3 linked regions of the Tamandua tetradactyla genome follow. The protein of the gene in region 3 interacts with the protein of the main gene of each other region in a pairwise test. Links are inferred from orthologs where the notes say so. Each region holds a gene or a part of one and is shown on either strand. Other genes may lie near its edges. The genes, in order: PKN1, EAF1 and HOMER3.

Region 1 (3,746 bases), about 7.4 Mb from region 3:
ACACCCCTTCTTCCCAAGGAAGCAGTGTCCTCAAGGCCCTGGCCACTGCCCTGGGCAATCCCTGCCCCTGGCAGCCACGTGATGGCTTTCCCTGGGGAGCTCTGGGAGCCCTTTGCATGGGCAGGACAAGCTCTGGGACAGCAAGTTCCTCAGGTCACCACCACAGAGCCTGGGCCAGACATCTGACACCAGTGTGTGCATGACGGCCACTGGGCTTCCTCTAGGACCCTGTCCAGGGCCCACCAAAGGGGCAAGATGAGAGGTGGGGGAGGGGCGATGGCCTGTGTTACGATGTGCCTTTTACCACAACGAAAAATCTCCGTGATGGTCCTTCTGACATCACCCCCCCGCCCCCCCAACACAAACACACTCCTCATATGCCCCTAGGAGCTACCTGCATCCCGATCCTGTCTCCAAGTATGCATACAGGTGTGTGTGTGTAGGAAGTATGTTAATAGGGGGCATGTGTGCACACACAGGTAAATGTGTACAGGTATATGTGTGCATGTAGGGTGAGTGCACACCTATGTATGGAATGTGTGTGTAAGATTGTACACGTACGTGTGGGTGGGTGCGTATGTGCATGCATGGCCCCCACCTTGGTGCTGCCGTTGCTGTACGTCTGGATCATGTTTTCGGCCCCCTGCTTCACCTTCAGCTCGATGGCCAGCTGCTTCTCCAGGCCAGCCACACGGCTCAGATTGGTGGCCGAGCAGGCCGAGCCACACGCTCCGGGGGACTGGGGTGCATCTGGAGGGGGCGGGAAAGAGCACGTCACTATGGCCCCCAGCACCAGCGGACAGGCCGGTAGGGGACACCCGGGCCCAGAAACTTCTAGCCACCCCCAGCCACCCCAGGAATATCCCCCCACCCCTCTTCAGTGGCATGACCCAACATAAGTGAGCACAGGCAGGTGGTGTAAGTTCCTGGACATTGGTGCAAGCATGTGTGGGAATCCCCAACTATTTATTCAGGTGTCTGAGTCCTTAGAGGTTAATGCAACTGAGTGTGAGTGACTGTGGGTGTGAGGAGGTCTGTGTGTCTCCCGCCTGCTATGTGTGTAACTGGGAGATGTCAGGTGATGGAACGATCGTGAGATGCCAGGTACTGAGGTGGCCCTATGCATACGTTTCCATTCATACAGCTACGAACTGGGACCCCTGGGTGCTGTGTGAGTCTGCGTGGGAATCTTTGGGTGTTGGTACAGCTGGGCATGTGTGTCTCTGGGTGCTGTCCAGGTGTTGGTGGGACTGTGAGAGAGTCTTCTGGCATTTTCTGGGTGTTGGTATTGACTGTGGGTGAGTCTCAGGGTATTGGTGTGACTGCAGATTGCAGTGTTTGCTATGACTGTATTAAAAGACTTGGTGTTGCCAAGACCACGTGTCCCTTTGGGGTCTTTGGAGCCAGTGTTGCCTGTCTGGGTGTTGATATGACTGCGTGTATGTAGCCAGTGGTGCATGTCTGCCTGTTGGTGCGACTGTGTGTATGTAGCCAGTGGTACATGTCTGGGAGTGGGTGTGACCACGTATATCTCTCTGGAGGTCAGCAGTCGATACTGTGTCTCTTGCTGTTGTGTGACTCTGTGGATAGCTGGGGGTGCATGGCTGCCTGTTGGTGGGACTGCATGTGTACAGCTGGGGGTGTGTGTCTGCCTGTTGGTGGGACTGCATATACAGCTGGGGGTGCGTGTCTGCCTGCTGGTGTGACTGCATGTGTACAGCTGGGGGTGCATGTCTGCCTGTTGGTGTGACTGTGTATACAGCTAGTGGTGCGTGTCTGCCTGTCGGTGCATATCTGCCTGTTGGTATGACTGCATATGCACAGCTGGGGGTGCATGTCTGCCTGTTGGTGTGACTGCATGTGTACAGTTGGTGGTGCATGTCTCTCAGCAGCTGGTACTGTACGCCCGGGCCCAGCGGTGGAGGTGGCATGCGTGCCCCACGCCCCCCGGGCCTCCTAGCTCACCATGGGCGGTGGCCACAGGGTCGGGCAGCACCACGTGGGCATGTAGCTCCTGCAGCTGCTGGTGCAGCAGCTCGAGGCGGCGTGATGAGCCACGCAGCAGCACCTCCACGGGCCCCAGGCTGCGGCCCAGGTCGGTGGTGGCGCGACGCAGGTTCTCCGCGCCTTCCTTCAGCTTCAGCTCCTTGCGTATCTCCCGCCGTAGCCGCTCCCGCTCTAGCTCCAGCTGCTGCTGCACCCCGGGGGCCGCCAGGTCCGCACCCGCCAGGCCCAGCTGCTCCAGCAGGGACCAGCTGCGCGGCTCACTCTGCAGGTGACAGGGCAGGGTCAGAGGAGCCAGGAAGGTTCCCCCCACATCAGGACTCCCAAAAACAAGAGCCTGACCTGCTCTTCAGAGACCCCAAAACTGGCAAGGCCCTGGCCCCCCAGACTAGAGGACCCCCCAGAGACAGCACTGCTTCCTTTTGTCTGTCCTTCAGGCAGTGGACTCCAGAGGGAGGCTCCAGCACCCCAGTGCTGAGCCCCCAAAGGAGCAGGGGCCTAGGGCAGGTCTATCTCCCCTCAGCTGTCTCCCCAAACTAGGAGACGCTAAGGGTAGGCCCTGTGCCCCCTCTCTGTCCCCCCAAAACTAGTAGGTGCTGAGAGCAGGCCCTGCTTCCCCCCCAGCTCCCCCGACCTCTACAATTAGGACCCTAAAGAACAGAGTAGATCTCCTTCCTCCCACGTCTCCCCACTGGGGGAGTCCCAAAGATCCCCAAATCTCTTCTTCCTCCAAAATGAAGACTCTGCAGCCCCCGTCTTATCTCCTCTCCTCTGTCCAAAACTTGGACGTATGGCGGCCAGAGCCCGTCTCCCACCCACCCAGTCCTGTCCCGCTAGTCCCCACAGGGACCCCAGCCCCACCTCCAGCTCTTGGTGGGAAGGGGGTTCAGCCTCCGCCATCCCGGGTCCGAGGTGAGGGCCCCGCCCTCTTCCTGAGCCTCCGCCCTGCCGGGGCCTCTCGCCCGCCACTTCCTCTTTCCTGCCAGCTCCCGGCAGCCCCCACGGCCAGCCCGGGCACCAGGGCATCTCGGGGACCTTCCTTATAACCCCTCCTCCAGGACAAGCCTGCTTCCCCGAGGCACCCTGGTGGGTATGCTCCCATGCCACTGGCATGTATGTGACAAATAGGCATCCGTGAGCATGCACATGCTCCCAAGGCTTGGGTGGCTGCCTGTTCTCACGTACCAGTAGACAAGTACACAAAACACAAGCTCACGCACGTGAACGCAGACTCACAAGTGCATGTACACTCTCCCATCTATGGGTGTGCACACGGAATACAGATTCACTTATGTGTGTACACTCCTGAATCTACAGGTGTGTGCAAGGAACGCAAACTCAGGCATGTGTGCACACTCTCACTTCCACAAGTGTGCACACTCCCACAGCTATAGATATGCATATGGGACAATGATTTCAGGTGTGTGCACATTCCCTCGCCCACGCATGTGTATACTTCTATGCATGTGCCTGAGAATATTTACATGCCCCCCCAAACTTTGTACAATACACGTTCCCACCTGCCCACGTGGGTGCCACACACACACTACACACACACACATACCCACACGCTCTCCGAGGCCCCCATGGCCTCCCCATGCTCCCACGGGCCTTCAGCTCTGCTGATACCTGCGTGTGTCCCTACAGCCAGATGCTTCTGCCCGCCCCTTGTCCCTGACTTCCCCTTTGGGGTCAGGACAGCGAGTGCTACAGAGACCAGGCCCCCTTCCTGCAGGCTGAGG
Region 2 (3,746 bases), on a different chromosome or scaffold from region 3:
TGTGACATGCAATGATACATGTTCATTAAGAGTATTTTGTCTAACCCTTCAGGCTTTGGGATCAGAGCACTGTCTTGGGCAGGGCTTCACAAAGATCTTTGTCTACAAGGGTTTTCAATCCAGCTTTTAATGGTTTCCTTATTCCAAAGCCAGAGGAATGCTTCGAACCTCTGGCTCCTGCCTGAGACTCGCAGACTGCACTTGAACCCCTGCTAGACATGTGAAAGATGAAAGCCTCACTGCTGACTGCCATGACTCCTGGCTTAGATACCATGCACCCCTGAACTGCTGCTGCTGTATATCAGCATGGCACCAAGGGCTCTTCTCTACAAAGGTGCTTGGGTAAAGTTGTGCATGTCTAAAACAGTGGCTAGGTTTTAGGAATGACATCTAAATTGGGGGTGGAGGAGGAGCTCTGGGGAAAATGGCAAAGAATCACTTTTAATCAAGCACTTGGGAAGCAAGAATTCTAATCTATTCCCCAAATTCCTGTATTCCTTGTGTTGACACTTAAATAATCTAAAGTATTTTAAGCAGTAGGAAACTTAAATTACAATAACATAATTCATTGTGAGCCTACAAAAAAACCAACAATAGAATAAACTTACAGGGATATGTGGCAGCGTAATTGTGACTTCATCTCCTTTGCCAACTTGGAGCTCTCCTTCACAGGAAGTGTCTATAGATGCTGGCTTAAAATCATCTAAAGGGAAAGGAAAAAGCATTTATCCATCAGCTAACAAGGGCTTCCAGAGCATCTTATTTAAGAATTAAAATGTTTTATTATTCAGATAAATGGCAAATACAAATACTTTAGAACATATTTAGGATTATTTCATTATGGAAAACTTCACATAATTTAAAAATAAAGAGAAGAGTACAATGAACTCCATGTACCAGCTTCAATAATTATCAACAAGGGACAATCATTTTTCACCTATGCCTTTACATACTTTTCCTCCTATTCCCACTGGACTATTTTGAAAAAAACTAGAATTTAAATGCCACTTTATTAAGCAAAGAAATTCCCTTCACCTAAGTAACAGATGGAAATTAATGCTGCAGTATCCACAGTAAGATGTTTTATTAGGGTTGTTATGAGGATCAAAGGCAATAGAGCAAAAAGACTCTGCCTGCAAAGCCCAACAGAAAACATGAATGGCCACAGCATCATACAAGCAGACTTCATCTTGCAGAGGAATTGTCAAAATTAGGACTTGCCATACTTAAATTCCATAGCTTTGACAAACATACTCCCACAGATGTTCAGAGCAGATGGCTGAACTGTATCTCCAAAGGTTACCCTGCCCATATTTCTGGAATGCAAAGTATAACATGAATAGCCATCTTGCACCTTGTTAGTATATCCTGCCCCAAACGTGGCCAGGTGCATAAGGAAATCGTCTCATTTAAATTTCACATTGTCCTTCTCACTCCACAGAAACATCAACCAAGTAGTGTTCAGGAACTGATGTCCTTGTCACATTCTTGATATCTCTCCTCGGAAAGAGCTATATCTGCTCTCAGAAAGCACAGTAATGGCATAGCAAGTGACCATACAAAGACGGAACTTCATTATCTAACCCGCCCTCTTCCTACATGTTGAGTCACATCTATTAGTTCCTCTGACAAAAACAAGACTTAACAAGTGTTAGCACTACCAGGATGGGCAGCCAGGAGCTTGTGAATCACAGCAGGACGCTCTGTCAGCCAATTTCTAACAGCTAATTCTCTACCCAAGGATATAGAGTGGAAATGCCTCTCCCTCAACAGAGTCTATAATCATGTAGGGAAAAAAGGCCCAGCATAATGACTACTTTGACATTTCTTACGCCTATGCTCTCTTTTGCTTTCCCACCACCAAGCTTTAACCTATCCCAGGTTCACAAACTCTAATTTTATTCTTCATCCACACGGCGGGGGGGGAGGTCTAGAGGAACAGTAAGGGTAGCAGAGGTGACCTCAAAAGACAGCAAAGTCAAACGAGGTGCGAAAAGCTGGAGGAGGACGCTGATGGCGGACAGGAGTATCCTCTGGCTGGTGAAGTGAGGATGAGCAGTGCCAGGATCGCTAGAACCAAGACAAACCAGGAAAGAAAGCTGGGGGGGGGGGGGGGAAGGGGGACGAGAACGGCGTGCGAGGAAGCGGATGAGGCTTATAAACAAATGTGAAGAGTCCTTCAAACGTGGAGAACCCTGGTGGAAGCATCAGGAAGTGGGAGGCGGGATGGAATTAGAGAAGAACTGGGGTCTGATGTAGGGGGTCACAGCCTTTCGGGAATAAAAAGGCGGGGGGGAGTCTGGGCTAAAGAATTAGGGTGGTGGGATGCAAAGAAAGAGGGACCAATGACCTTCGAAAAATAGGTTCTATCAAGAGAAAAATTGTTGGGAGTGACAAAAGCTTCGGTTTGGGAGGAGTGACCTGAGAAAAGGAAAGAAGACGATATCTCGGAGGATTCAGAGTAAGAGTGATCGGGAGCTGCCGATGGGAGTCGGCAGGGGCTTCCCTAAGGTTCGGGAAGCCAAGCGAAGCCAGAGGGGGTGCTGAGGCTAGTTAGGTAACCCTGGGAAACACTGACTTACAGCGAATGGTGTGGAACGAGGCCCGCGGTCGCTTTTCGAAGCTCTCCCCGAGCCGTAGGCAGTGCTCCTCGCGGTCCAGCAGCGGGTTCGCGGTCCCGTTCATGGCCCCGTACGGGCGGTGCGCCCGGCTCGGCGCTCTCCAGGCGCGGGAGCTGGGAAAGCTGCGCGAGCTTCCGGCGCCGGGGTCCGGGAGAGCGGTGCTCACTGAACACCGCTCCGGGGCGCACCGACAGCCGAGCCGGACCCCACCGGTGACTGGAACGAAGTTTCCGCCTCTGCGTCGGGGTAGGGGGAGACTCGGACGAAGCGAGACTGAGGGATTTCCGGTGTCGGGGAGGGACTTAAGGGTTCGCGGCGGATGTAGCGGGCGAGGTTTCATGGCGAAATAACTCCGGCCTTAGAATCCCAAATCGAGGTCCGCAAGTCTGTCTTGACCCAGCTCGGGTTTTCCTGTGGCGGCTCCTAAAGTTCGCCTCCGAGCGCTGGTGCTGGCTGAGGGGTGAGTGTGTCAGGCCCTGGGTCAACAGATGAACCTAGAAATGCTGAGGGTGGGCCTAGAGCGCACGACTAAATTAGTCCGGGTCGGATAGCTAACATGGCCAGCTCTCTGCAGCCCTAGATGTCCGCAAGTGGGCTCAGTTCATTCAGAATGTCCTGGGAGACCTGTGTACTCAGGACCCTCTGCTACGCATAACTGGGTATCTTCTTCCCCTTCGTGCCGTGAAGGGGTGTGGGAGCTTCAGTTTCTGAAAAACGACGCCCCCTCTGGTTCGTACGACAGTCTCGTGTGAGTGGGATCTGAGACTTAGAGACTCGGACCACCCGGGCTTATCTCGATGTCACCGAGCAAAACGGAGTCTTGATCCTGCAGACCTTGGGAAACGATGATCCTACTTCTATCTGGCAACCCACCACCGCCTCCTGTTCAGCTTTCGTTGTTGTTAAGTTATTCCCTTCACAGGCCCTGAAAATTGATGAGCATTTTCCCCCAAGGTTTTGTATTCAGATCTTGAGAGTGTCCTTTTTCACAACTATATAAATTTATTGTAAAAATTGACTCATTTTGTCTTGAATTAGAGTTCGGTGCATAAGCCAGGCCTGGCCACTGGATGGTAAGCCGTTTGAGGGCAAGAAGTATATCTTGGTCTTCTTTGTGACCTTTCG
Region 3 (3,746 bases):
GGAAAGGACAGGGGATGGGGGAGGGGGGGCAGGGAAAAACGAGGGTGGCTGGGGACGGGGTGGGTCCCAGGGAAAGGCACCGAGGAGGCCCGAGCAGCCGGAGCAGGGAGAGTCAAGGGTGAGGGGCTCTGGGAGCTGGACCCAGCGAGGGGTGTGTGCTCAGAGAACTGGGGAGCCACAGGAGGCGTCTGAGCAGGGCAGGGGCATGATCTGAGTTGGCACTTGGAGGTGAGTCTCTGGCTGCTGCGTGTGATTTGGCGCCAACCTGGGTTTTTTGCAGAGGCTGTGAAAGCTGGGCTGGCTCAGACGCTCCATGCAAGGTACATCGTCCTTCCGCTGGGCCCTGAGCTCTGGCTCCCACCCCCGGGCCTCCACCCCCCGCCCTTCCTCCCCTCGGAGGCCCTGGGCCCTGCTCCTTTATCTCTGAAATTCCAAGCCTGGCGTGGGACGGAAACAGCTGCTTCCAGGGAAATCACAGGCCCCCAGCGCCAGGGAGGGGCCCCGAGGGAAGGGGGAGGAGGAAGTCCTCAGGCGCCGTACGTGTGGGGAAACGCCCGGGGGGAGGGCCTGGGTTCAAATCCTACTGCTTTGCGCTCCGCCAGGAGGTTCCCGGCAGCTGACAGACCCCTGCTCAGGCCCAGGACCATGGCTTGGCGACGGGAGATGCAGGGTCCCCTGCTAAACTTGACTGGGAGCTTCAGCCAGGCCTGGGCCTGGGGGGGAAAACGAGGCTGGGGGTGGGGCAGGAGCAGAGGGCCCACCACCAGAGAAGGAGTGCAGGGTACTGCGTGGGTGGGCTCAGCCTGGGGCCTGTGCATCCCTGCTAAATCTTGAGGAACCCAGAACCTAGGCTGGCAGAATTCCAGGAACTGAGGTCCCTGCTCCCCAGAGCTCTTCAATTCTGTGTTATAGCAAAACCCTAAAGAAAAGGGGACCAAGGGGAGGGAGGCCAGAAAGGGGAAGGCCAGCCCGTCCTCATGACCTGGGGATCCCCCAGCTTCCATTTCCAGCCTGGGCCGAGCTCTTGGGGTGTCCCTATCATTCTGGAGGTGCCCTCCACTGGTAAGGAGCAAGCTGGGGAGAGGAGGAGCTGTAGGTCCTCTCAAACCCTGTTCAGGGGTGTGGGGGCCCTGGTCTTTCTCAGGGGGCCTGGGCAATTGGGCACGTGACCCCAAACCAGGCACCAGGCCTAGAGGGGGAGGAACGGGGTGGGGTACGAGCCAATGTGCAGGGCTTGGGGAGCAGTGGGCCACCCCGTCTTCCTGGGGGGCTCCCAGAGCTGAGCCAGGGATGGCCCCTGAGACAGGTAGGCGCCCTCACTGTGCCCCCACGCCTTCCTCCAAGGGGCGCCCAGCTCCTGGGGGTCCCTATGCCACAGGAGACCCTGGCTGTGGAACAGGGGTGCCACCAAGTAGGGGGCACAGGCCCTGGGCAGCCCTCGGGGGAGGCTCGACTGGGGAGGGGGCTGTGACAGACAGTGCCGAAGCTGCCCCCGCTGGGAGTTCTGGACGGGCCTCTCTGGGGGGCCAGCAGAGGAGGAGTTAGGGGGTACTGGGGTTGAGGAACAAACCCCACCTTGTCACTCCCTGGCTCCTTGGTCCACCCAACTCACCCCCCACCCATCCACCCATCTGTCCATCCAATAATCCGCCCTCCCCCCTATTCACACATCCACCCACTCTTCCACTCAGCCAGCCATCATCCACCCACCCCTACCATGCACCCCCCCCATCCACACATACCCCCACCCATGGACATGTAGTACCCAAGCTTTGGGGTTCCTGCCGTGAGCTCTGCAGCCCTCGGCAGCCTGCTCACTCCCCTTGTTCCCCTGCCCAGCAATACCGGCTTTCCTGAGCACCCCCGCATGGGAGAAGCCACCCCACTTCAGGGCCTTTGCACAGGCTGCTCTGCCCCAACCTGAGCCCATGGCCAGGCCCCCTGCGCCTCAGCTCAAGTACCACCACCCTGGCCAAGCGGCCCCAGTCTCCGGGCAATGGGGGAAAGCTGGGTGCCGGGCAGCCCTCCTTTCTAAGATCCAGTCTCTACCTCCTGCCGCCCAGGAGGGCCCCAGAAGACAGCATGGATGCATCCCTGCACAGTCCCGGAACTGAGGATGCCTCCTGACGAGCCGCTGTAGGGAGAGAACCCGTTCGTTCACACGCGTGTGTGCGGGAAAACAAAACAGGACACCACGTTCCATGTCAGGGAGCCACGCTAGAGAAGTAAAATGATAGGTGAATAAATGGGAGCATGGCCCACTAGAGTGGCTCAAGGTCAGCCCTGCTCCAGGGAAAAGGTCGAGAAGGGACAGAAGGATGACTGAGGTGGCAATTCCAGAGGGCGGCTGCCCTGGGGCGGCAGCCCTGGCTGCGGAGGCCGAGGGGCTGGGGGGGCAGGAGGCCGAGGGGCTGGGGGGGCAGGAGGCCGGGGGGCTGGAGGGCAGGAGGCCGGGGGGCTTGGGGGGGCAGGAGGCCGGGGGGCTGGGGGGCAGGAGGCCGGGGGGCTGGAGGGCAGGAGGCCGGGGGGCTTGGGGGGGCAGGAAGCCGGGGGGCTGGGGGGCAGGAGGACGGGGGGCTGGGGGGGCAGGAGGCCGGGGGGCTGGGGGGCAGGAGGCCAGGGGGCTGGAGGGCAGGAGGCCGGGGGGCTGGGGGGGCAGGAGGCCGGGGGGCTGGGGGGTAGGAGGCCGGGGGGCTGGGGGGCAGGAGGCCGGGGGGCTGGGGGGCAGGAGGCCGGGCCGGCACGGAGCCGCGGGAGGGGCCGCACGGGAGCCAGGACCAGGAGGTCGGCCGGGCCGCGTTCCCTGGGCGCCACCCTCACCGGCACAGACCCGGGACCACCCCCCACCCCCCACGCACCCGCACCCCCTCACCCGCCCCCATTCCCCGTGCTCCAGGCGCCTCCACCCCACCACCCCCAGCGCAGCCCAGCCAGTCTCTCCTGCACCCTCCGACCCTGCCTCCCCTCCCTCCCCTCCTTGTGCGCTGCAGGCTGACGCCAGCGCATAAAGGCTGGGCTCTGACCCCCACCTAGGCCCCCCCCCCCCCACCCCCCACCCCCCACAGAGTTCCAGCCTCATTCACCCACCCTGAGCTTGGCGCGGCCGTTCGCGGCGCTCCCAGACCCGCGCATGCGCACGGGCCGCTTCACGTCACAGCTCCGGGAACCGCACTCTACGCGGGTCCTACAATTGCACATGCGCACAGCCCGCATCACGTCACTCATTTCTGGGAGACACACGGTACACAGGCCTAGAACCGCGCATGCGCACGGCACTCCGCCTCACACAACTCTTGAGAAAGGGCCGACCTGTCCAGCGGGTCACAGCTGCCCCCAATCCATGAAGGCCTGACCTGCGGCTGCAGCTCTCCGCATGCGCACAAGGGGACCCGCGCCCACCAGGGTTATGCCCCCAGACCCGGGCACCCGCCCAGCTCCATCCTTCCTGGGTGCTGGGCGCCGTGTTCACAGGCATTGGTGTAACGTCCCCAGCCTGCTCCCACACCTTCCCTGAAACAGATCCCTGCACTGAGGGCGCCACCTGCGCCCTGCTCCCTGCTGTGCAGCTGTCCTGCACACACAGGGCCTTAGACTCCTGAAAAATCAACCCCCAGAGTATATCAGTCAAGACATCTACATGCAACGGGGACAGCCAAAGACCACCAAGCATATCACAGTGCAGACAGATGCAGCCCCATCTGATGACCAAAGTGAAACACCAGAGGAGATGCAGAGGCTGCAACAAC

Evidence for each region.
Region 1: the proteins of HOMER3 (region 3) and PKN1 interact in binary tests that used the Homo sapiens proteins (3 or more experiments, as listed by UniProt). The two-hybrid records come from large-scale screens. The link is inferred for Tamandua tetradactyla from reciprocal best matches to the Homo sapiens genes HOMER3 and PKN1.
Region 2: the proteins of HOMER3 (region 3) and EAF1 interact in binary tests that used the Homo sapiens proteins (3 or more experiments, as listed by UniProt). The two-hybrid records come from large-scale screens. The link is inferred for Tamandua tetradactyla from reciprocal best matches to the Homo sapiens genes HOMER3 and EAF1.

What each region holds. Positions count from the first base shown.
Region 1 is NC_135337.1:88,509,954-88,513,699, forward strand, and holds the start of PKN1 (serine/threonine-protein kinase N1), read right to left. Parts: upstream 2,960-3,746; 5' UTR 2,905-2,959; coding exon 2,866-2,904; intron 2,270-2,865; coding exon 1,966-2,269; intron 751-1,965; coding exon 599-750; intron 1-598. UniProt on the Homo sapiens protein: PKC-related serine/threonine-protein kinase involved in various processes such as regulation of the intermediate filaments of the actin cytoskeleton, cell migration, tumor cell invasion and transcription regulation.
Region 2 is NC_135341.1:73,240,876-73,244,621, forward strand, and holds the start of EAF1 (ELL-associated factor 1), read right to left. Parts: upstream 2,838-3,746; 5' UTR 2,686-2,837; coding exon 2,583-2,685; intron 704-2,582; coding exon 609-703; intron 1-608. UniProt on the Homo sapiens protein: Acts as a transcriptional transactivator of ELL and ELL2 elongation activities.
Region 3 is NC_135337.1:95,888,240-95,891,985, reverse strand, and holds the start of HOMER3 (homer protein homolog 3), read right to left. Parts: upstream 2,351-3,746; 5' UTR 1-2,350. UniProt on the Homo sapiens protein: Postsynaptic density scaffolding protein. Binds and cross-links cytoplasmic regions of GRM1, GRM5, ITPR1, DNM3, RYR1, RYR2, SHANK1 and SHANK3.